Bombyx mori: one gene and its partner. The protein of the gene in region 1 binds, or shares a complex with, the protein of each later gene. Links are inferred from orthologs where the notes say so. Each region holds a gene or a part of one and is shown in the gene's direction. Other genes may lie near its edges. The genes, in order: GPI transamidase component PIG-T and phosphatidylinositol glycan anchor biosynthesis class U protein.

What was found.
Region 2: the proteins of GPI transamidase component PIG-T (region 1) and phosphatidylinositol glycan anchor biosynthesis class U protein are in contact, whole or in part, in a cryo-EM structure (PDB 8IMX), measured with the Homo sapiens proteins. The link is inferred for Bombyx mori from reciprocal best matches to the Homo sapiens genes PIGT and PIGU. Residues at the interface, in NP_057021.2 of Homo sapiens: Tyr361, Gly362, Leu363, Gln364, Lys365, Arg394, Leu395, Tyr396, Val397, His398, Tyr416, Pro418, Ala419, Gln420, Asp421, Arg422, Gln445, Glu447, Leu450, Leu451, Lys452, Trp453, Thr454, Pro518, Thr519, Pro520, Asp521, Phe522, Ser523, Met524; in NP_536724.1 of Homo sapiens: Glu30, Lys42, Arg43, Val45, Glu46, Ser49, Leu50, Leu53, Val55, Ser59, Gly60, Ala61, Val62, Pro265, Asp266, Leu267, Pro269, Leu273, Trp275, Tyr276, Phe277, Phe278, Ala279, Glu280, Met281, Phe282, Glu283, Phe289, Phe293, Asn296.

What each region holds. Positions count from the first base shown.
Region 1 is NC_085111.1:7,582,895-7,587,272, forward strand, and holds GPI transamidase component PIG-T, read left to right. Parts: upstream 1-1,536; 5' UTR 1,537-1,768; coding exon 1,769-1,934; intron 1,935-2,031; coding exon 2,032-3,321; intron 3,322-3,500; coding exon 3,501-3,721; 3' UTR 3,722-3,786; downstream 3,787-4,378. UniProt on the Homo sapiens protein: Component of the glycosylphosphatidylinositol-anchor (GPI-anchor) transamidase (GPI-T) complex that catalyzes the formation of the linkage between a proprotein and a GPI-anchor and participates in GPI anchored protein biosynthesis.
Region 2 is NC_085111.1:9,170,685-9,175,120, reverse strand, and holds the start of phosphatidylinositol glycan anchor biosynthesis class U protein, read left to right. Parts: upstream 1-1,510; 5' UTR 1,511-1,671; coding exon 1,672-2,435; intron 2,436-2,997; coding exon 2,998-3,269; intron 3,270-3,517; coding exon 3,518-3,771; 3' UTR 3,772-4,436. UniProt on the Homo sapiens protein: Component of the glycosylphosphatidylinositol-anchor (GPI-anchor) transamidase (GPI-T) complex that catalyzes the formation of the linkage between a proprotein and a GPI-anchor and participates in GPI anchored protein biosynthesis.

The sequences.
Region 1 (4,378 bases):
AAACATTTTTTGTTTTTCAAATCATGTAATAAAACGTTTGTGCAGAACAAAATGTCACATGTTATGAACATGATTGTGGGTTAATCGTTTCTTAAATTTCTAAATGTTTATAAGAATGCTAAGAATAATTTAGTATTCACTTTAGTGTGTGTATTATCTCTACAATGCTAGTATAAATGACAATTATTGTATGACGAAGCATAGGTAGTGTTTATAGATGTAATATTTTCATACAAGGTCATGATCTGTCACGATCAACTTTAAGCAAGAACTGCTATAGTTAAGAAACAAATTTATTAAATTTAATTCAAATTGTCTACTATGTTTGTAATGGAAAGCTGACATGTTTATATTTCGCACAAATGACTTAAGTGACATTGAATGATTTGATTATCTAGACTTAATTAACTTTTAGATAACTTTCGATTAAGTACTCTAGTAGGATTAATCTAGAGGAGTTATTGTTATTCGAAATTTTATACAATTGTACGTTCATACTATCTTTTAACAGTAAATTGTTTGTAATATAGGGAAATTAAATAGCTTACAGAGAATTACAGCTTTTTATTTAAAAAAACTGTTTTCTCTCTGTATGAAAAGGTCTTATCGATTAGAATGCTGAACACAATCAAACGTTCTTTAATATTTCATAAGTACTACCGGGAATTTCAGCGATTCTAAACGATAAGATTTTTTCATAAAGAGAGTTAATTATAAAAAATATTAAAATTACTAAAAAAGCCACCTGGTGGGGGGTAGGGAGACTAATAATCGACAGCAGCGACGCCTGCTGTCCCGGGCTCTAACTAAAGCAAAAATAAAAATGAGAGTTGCGCATCTATCTCAAATATATTAAGTGTATAATCTATGCCCGAACTGTCAATGAATGATCGTAATAAACAATCATAGACCTTAGGTTTCCTACTTCAGTGTAAACAATTAAATGAGTGACATTTTCAGTAGATACCGTAAAATGGGGTGATTAGGGATCGAGAGGTGAATGGGGAAAAAACCAGGAAAATCTTTCGACGCGCAATACTAGTTTTTTAATCGTTGCAAAATCTTCCATTTTTTGTAGTGTAATAATATAATGAGATGAGATGATATGGGATGAAATATAATCTCAGTAAAATTGTGGTCATTTACTGAGACTTTTTCGTTGGACTTTTTGGAGAATCCCGAGAAGTGACGTCCAGCGACTTTGTTTCATTTTCCCACATTTGTGCACTTTCACAAATATTAAACAGTTAATAAACCACCATCATTACACATTTAAACCTGAAGAAACACCAAATAGACAAAATAAAACAAATCACACAACTTCATTCCTCGCGTTCCCGCCAAAAAGTCCGCTTTACTCCAATTTCCCCAGTATTGCTAGCGTCAATTTCTTTTTTCTCTTTTCGCCATCAGATCCTGGTAGACCCATAGAGTTACTACTCTAAGGTAGGTACTTACTTGTAGGTACTTATTAACTCCATGGGTAGACCTATAATATTATTATCTATGGAGTTTATTTCAGAAATTATATAGAACAGACAAGACTGTATGGGCTTAGATCCCCTTGCCTTTCCTAATAACGAAAAATTGGACCAAAAAAATATATATCTATGAAGCTAGATTGCTATTATCTATGGAGCTAGATAGATAAAGTTAAAAATTAAAAGCCGATTTGCAAAGAAATAAGAATTTAATTATGCTCTTTGAATTAAATTGCAATATATGTATGTGTTAGGTATAATCAAATTAAAAGACAAATTTAAACAGGATGTTTAACTCGAAAAACTTTCTGTTTTTTATTGCCGTATTCATTGAGACAATTTTTAACGCTAATGGTGATTTATTTAATGAAGAGCTATTTATTAAACCTCTACCACCGGCACACCTTTACACATATTTTCAATTTACTACCTTAGTAAATGATAACCTGTCATGTAAGTGCAGTGCTCACTATTTAGCAACTATGTTTTTGTATGACGGCTTTTTTATAAACATAGTTTTGGATATTTATTTTACAAAAATGTTTTCCAGCCGAGCACACCTATTTAGCACCTAGGTCTTTGGTGGAAGTGTTGACACGATTCCAAGTTGATGAACTGCATTTCACACTAACCGAGGGGCAGTGGAGGCATAATCATTGGGGTTATCCTGTGCTTGATGCAGCTCCTGGAGCAGAACTATACGCTTGGTTTTCCTCAGATGTGGAAAATGTTGATACACAATGGAAAAAATTAAGTTCCACCCTTGCAGGACTGTTCTGTGCATCTTTAAATTTTATTGAAGATTTCAACACTATAACACCTCAAATGGCATTACAACCGACCGGTGCTATACCACAAAATCCTAATATAACATCACAGTTACGCTATGCTTCTCTGCCTAGAGAAATTGTATGCACAGAAAACTTAACACCATGGAAGAAACTTCTTCCTTGTGAATCTAGTAGAGGGCTTTCAGCATTGTTAAACTCAAGAATGATACACAATACCAATTATCATTCTATTGGAGTTCATACAAGAAAAGTGTGTTCATCTAGTGATTGTTCAGTAGTGAGCCTAGAGATAAAGCAAACGGTAGCTTTGGTTTATGATTCTAAGATTATTCGAACCACTGATTGGTCTTTTACTAAATTATTTGGCCAAGGGTTGCCTGGTGGATGCCCTCTTGCATCAAGTAGCAAAGTGTATGTAGATATCACCACCAATGATACCCAGCCATTCCTTCTATCTCCAGAGCCAGAAAAGGTTCTACTGTCACAGCGAGGAGGCAGTGAAACAAAACTTGCTCTGTACACAATTAAACCTGAAAACAAAATGACTACTATTGGAGCCAAATATATCAGTAAGAAAGATTTGGTTCTTATGAAACTGCCCCCACTTTATTTCAATCGTTATGTATTAGGTTATGGAAAGGAATTTGGAGGTATTGTGACTGAACTGACCAATACTTTTTGGTCCTCCATTGATGTTGTTGTATTGCAGAATGCGCCTTGGTGGTTGCCTATTCAATTAAGCTCTTTAAGAATCAACGGGGAAGCGTCAAGTGAGATGGTGTTAGCTAGGCATTATTCACCTGGGCGTAGCAGACAAAAACCTTATCACTTGGAGTTACTGCTGAGGCTACCACCTAAGTCAGCAACTAAGATAACTATTGATTTTGAATTCGTATTCTTAAAATGGCAAGAGTATCCACCAGATGCTAATCATGGCTTTTATGTTGGGTCAGCAATAATAACTGCTAATTTACCAACAGCAAGAAATTATACTAGTTTACCAGGGACTGCAAGCTTATTTGAATCTTCAATTAATGCATCAAAACCATGTAAGCAAAAATAGATATTCAATTTTGACCTAAACTACATTGTAAATAGTTTTTGTTTTGTGTTCCTAACAATAATATAACTTCCCTAGATTTTGGTACAATTTAGTATTTTCCCACAAGTACATTACAGCATCAGTTCATACAATTCAGCAATGTCTAACTGCATTTTTTTTTTCCAGGGTATCCTGCAGTATTTCGTACTAATGGTGTGATGGTATCATTACCAACACCAGACTTCAGTATGCCATATAATGTGATATGTCTTGCTTGTACAGTTGTGGCCCTTGCTTTTGGACCTCTGCATAATATTTGTACAAAAGAATTAGTTCTCAAAGTTGTTGGTTCTTCTGTTACTTTAAAACAAAAGATTATTAATTTATTTAAAAAGAAAAAGGAGTGAAATTTTCATAAATTTGCAATACCAAATAAATTGTATAAATAAAATAAAAAAGCTTTAATAATTAATTTATTCTGTTTCACATAAGATATCTATAAATAAAATCCTATAATTGGAATCTCAGCTAGAGGGAATAAGCCCTGATAGGAGGAACACTTTAATTATTAACTTAGAGTGAAGAAAATCGTGAGAAAAAGGAAATAAAAATAAGTCTCTCTCAGAGGAGCTCAATAACAAGCATGGACACCTTTTTTTTTTCTTTTTTTTTCTTTCGGGTAGAAGGCCGAACCTCCTACGAGGTCCCCGCGCCTAGGTGGCGCGCGGGGTATGTGAGACTCAACGATCTGCAGGTGTTGAGAGCAGATCGCGGGCCCAAGGGTTTTAGGTCCCACCCACTAAACGACTCCCCTGCACTCTTACACCCGACGTCCGAAATCCGTCCGGGGTCAGAACCCGTTCAGAGTAGAGGGGTTCCCGCGGTCAACACTACAACCAGACACGCGGCGCCACCCCGAGGACGCCCGACCGACGGGTCGTCGAGGCGATAGTCGACGACCAACGACGTCAGTCTCCGCGGTACGGCGGCCCTACCAGGCCGCCCGGGCGGTGCCGCAGGTGTTCCGGGATACCCCGCTGGGCCAGAACCAGCCTGCCGGGTCG
Region 2 (4,436 bases), about 1.6 Mb from region 1:
GGAGAGTGCTGTACCGCGAGCTTCTCCCATACGCACAATCTAACTGGGACAAAATTGGCACAAACGTAGCTAATAAGATTTTCTCAAAAGTACCCTATGATCAGATATTTCCTAGCGGTACATAAATTTTCCTTAAATAATTAATAGTTCTGTGATATTTTGTTTTTTTTAGTAAGTTGATGTATCTTTATTAGGTATATAGGTATGACGGGTAAAATTTGATTTATTAGGCATAGAGATTAGAACATAATTAGAAGCAATAAACATTCAAAGCAAATTAAATCTGTCTCCAAATTGAGTTGCCAGTATGTTAAACCTTGGGATCATCTTACTGACAATATGACAGCTTAAGTCGAACAAACTGCCTAATTTCAAGATACACCTATTTTAAATAGTAAAAAGTTTTTAGAAATTTAATTATGAAATAACTGGTTGGTTAATATGAAAATAGGATATGAAAATGCATTTTGAGCCATAAAATATCCTTCAAGCAGGTTTCGATAACATACTGATCGGTTCGCGGTGCCAGATATACTTAAATCATTTTCAACCTAGTAATATATATTTTTAAATTGTCAATCAACTTTTGGACAATTTTGGTGTATGGGATGGCTCTGAAAAATAGCCTGGAAACTCGTGTATGGCCAGACGCAGCCCAGACGAGTCTATGGTTAGCCTGATTATATCGTCGCTTATTTTTGTAGTGTCAGGTTTTCAGCTGAAACTACCTAGTGTAGTATGCACTATAGCACACAGTAATTATTGTAATTATTAATAATTTTGAGAAAATAAATAATATATGATGAGAAATAGAGTTTTGTTTGTTATTTATAATACACATTAAGATCCACCTACAAGCAGCTTACAAAATTACATACAGAGAAAATACCAAATGTCTTATTATATTATATCTGACCTAACCGACCTGGCAACACACAGCTGCCATCGCCATAAGATATTGAGTATAGTTTTGATTTGTACTTCGGTGGAAATTTTGTTTATCCCGAACCCCAGGGCGTAACATAATATACATGTTACAACTAAAATCTTAACGTCGGGGCTTTAATTCTATACTTAGAACGCTACAATTTTTTCGGGTTCGCCATTTCTACAATCAAGATGCTAAGGTGACAAATAGCAAGGGAAGGTCTTCCACCGATCATGTGCTAAAGAAAACGAGCGCGAGCATTGTTCATCAGAGCTTATTAGACAAGAATGTGACTTCCTTTTTATAAAGATTTTATGGCCTGATGGCGGTGATACAATAATCTACATGGTGGGGTCCACTAATATAATATAGTGCATGTTATTATCTAATATATATTTATCCATTAAATATCTAAGGATTACGTTTTTACAAGACCATCTTACATATTCCCTGGTGCAATAAATAAATTTTCACTTTTGTTTTATGGTTGTCTTTCGTCCGTGGTTGAAAATAGACTCGAACAATATATAAACTCTTTGCTATTTCTGTTCAAAAAAAAGACAGTGACAATGACAATGACAGTTAGGCTTGTTTCCTTTCCAATGTCGAACGAAAAGTCAGAAAAGATAGTAATTGGGATGAAAACGAATTAAAACGATTGAAGTAGTATATATAACGAAGTCAATATTATGTACCACATACGTCCTTTACATTGCAAATATTAATAAGTAATTAATCAAAAAATGGGTGCGGTTGTAAAATATGTAATAGCCGGCTTAGTTAGGTATTGGCTTATTCATACAGACTTTTGGCATACACTATCCAATAGGGTAGAAATAGCGACTCCCTTAAATTCATGGAAGAGGTTAATTGAAGGTGTTTATTTATACGACCAAAACATTAATCCGTACGAAGGAGATGCTTTCCACGAATCACCGATAGTGTTAGTGATTTTCCATTATCTTTTAAAACATGTCCCGTATAGCCTACCATTTATATTCAGTGCAATGGACCTCCTCACTGCGTATCTTCTCTACAAAACCTCGAGAGGTTTTGTCAGAATCTTCCTTAACTGTCAAGAGAAATATTTATCAGATGTGTCTCAGGAATCAAAGGATATGGTTATGACAGAAAGTCAGTTAAAAGAGACATCTGAATATGTTCTGTCTGTCTATTTATTTAATCCATACTCTATATTGAACTGTGTTGGGATGACAACAACAGTTTTGCAGAATATGTTGTTAGCTGCAGCACTTTGTGGTGCGGCTCATGGATATGTGATAATATCCTGTGCGTTCTTAGCCTTTGCTACTCATCAAGCATTATACCCTGTCTTACTGATAGTACCAACGGCTATGATATTGGCTGAAGTGAACAAGGGATGTAATAAATGTTCATATATTAAAACATTGTTGGCCTTTGTTTTGAGTTGGAGCTTTGTGGTTTATATATCTGCATTTATAATGGATGGTTCTTATAATTATGTTTACAATACATATGGTTTTATGTAAGTACTTTCTTCTAATATTAGTCAGTCATAATTTTATTTTAAACTAGATAATAGAATAAGAAACTAATTAACTTTGTATTTGTAACATAATGGTATGGTAATGGTAAGACATCCAATGTACTTGTATCAAATGTTAGAACTATGTTAAGATTCAATGTTGTCATGAATACAATTACCATTTAAATATGTAACTAAAATGTCATCAATACAAAATTTTGACTGTTCACACAACAAAATGAAATAGAAATAATAGCCTGTAAGAAACTTTAAAGTACATTATTAATATTAATAGTTCTGTGTGTGAATTTTCACCAGTAGACAGAACCATCTTTGGCTATGTACTGTAAAGCTTTTACCCAGCAGTCCCTTAAGACTTACTGTTAAACTATACAATTGAGTCTCATTATCAATGTGATTTCTACAATTTCTATTAATCAGTAAATACATAGTGCAGCAATAAAATAAAAGAAGAGTAGTTGATTTTGAATTTCTTTGAAAGTGTCAATCGAATTATATAAACATATGTATACTCATAATTTCATATTTAACATGTTTCCAGATTGACTGTTCCAGACCTAAAACCAAATATTGGACTTTTTTGGTACTTTTTCACGGAAATGTTTGAGCACTTTAGATTACTGTTTGTATGTGCTTTCCAAATAAACGCCCTGATACTGTACATAGTACCATTGACTTTGCGATTTAAGAAGGAACCAATATTATTGGTGACTGTGCTATTAGCACTGTCAACTGTATTCAGATCTTACCCTTGTGTGGGTGATGTTGGCTTCTATATGGCATTCATACCAATGTGGAAACACCTTTTTACATGTAAGTGCTATTATATAAGATAATAAAATGAAGAAAAATATTTTAAAATTTATGATGCACTCTTCATTTCCATATAATTCTTATCGCTAATTCTTATAGTTTAAAAAATAAATTTTTTATTTAAATTATTCTTTATTGCCCTTCATTCAGCTATTAATAAAAAAGATAAAGCATAAGAGCTATTTATAGAAAAATATGAATTTTTATAATTTCTGAGTTTACTCATAATCTTTATATATATTTTTCAGTTATGCAACAAAAATTTATTGTTGCCTGTGCATTCATCATTACTTCAGCTTTGGGACCGACAGTATGGCATTTGTGGATATATTCTGGATCAGCTAATGCCAACTTTTTCTTTGGTGTCACCTTATCTTTTGCAACAGCACAAATATTCCTTATAACTGACTTATTGTTTGCGTATATTAAAAGAGAATATACTCTTAAGAATGGATCTTCGAGGACCATTGATGGAAAACCTGCCAAATTAGTTCTGCGATAATGACAACTGTAAACTGAAATGACAGAAATATGCATAAAACTTGTACAATGACTTCTTATGTGTAGCTTTAGCATTCAGAAAAAAAAAACTGTTATGCAGATGTCTGAATGTTACATTTGTGCAGTAATATATTACATATTGAAGACCAAAAAATTTTTTCATTCTTAAGTAACATCTCCATATCACCATTTCGTTGAATAGAGTATGTTGATCAGTTGAGACAGTATACATTCATTCAATTCTGCATTTAAATTAGTAATTTTAGGGTATTATAATATAAGACAAGAAGCAAAGACTTGTATAACTAATGACTGTAACTAAATTAATGATAAAATGCATACAATCTTTTAAGTACAGCTAAAATATTTTCTATATCTGACTGTCACTTAGTACTATTCAATATTCATAATTAATATGTATAGTTACTTTATTAGTCGAAGAAAGAAATATTTTTTAGCTCATGTGTTCATTTCGTTACAACTTGTTTTTTAGACATATTTGATATTGCTTTAAAGTTATTAATATTGTATTTGACTGTTATATCATATCAAACTGTCGTTACAATTTTTAGTTACTGTTTGCACAAAGATAAATGTCAAAACATACAGTATTTTTTAACAAAATTAAAATTAACAACTTATTGGATTGAAAATGTAAGAAGAAAA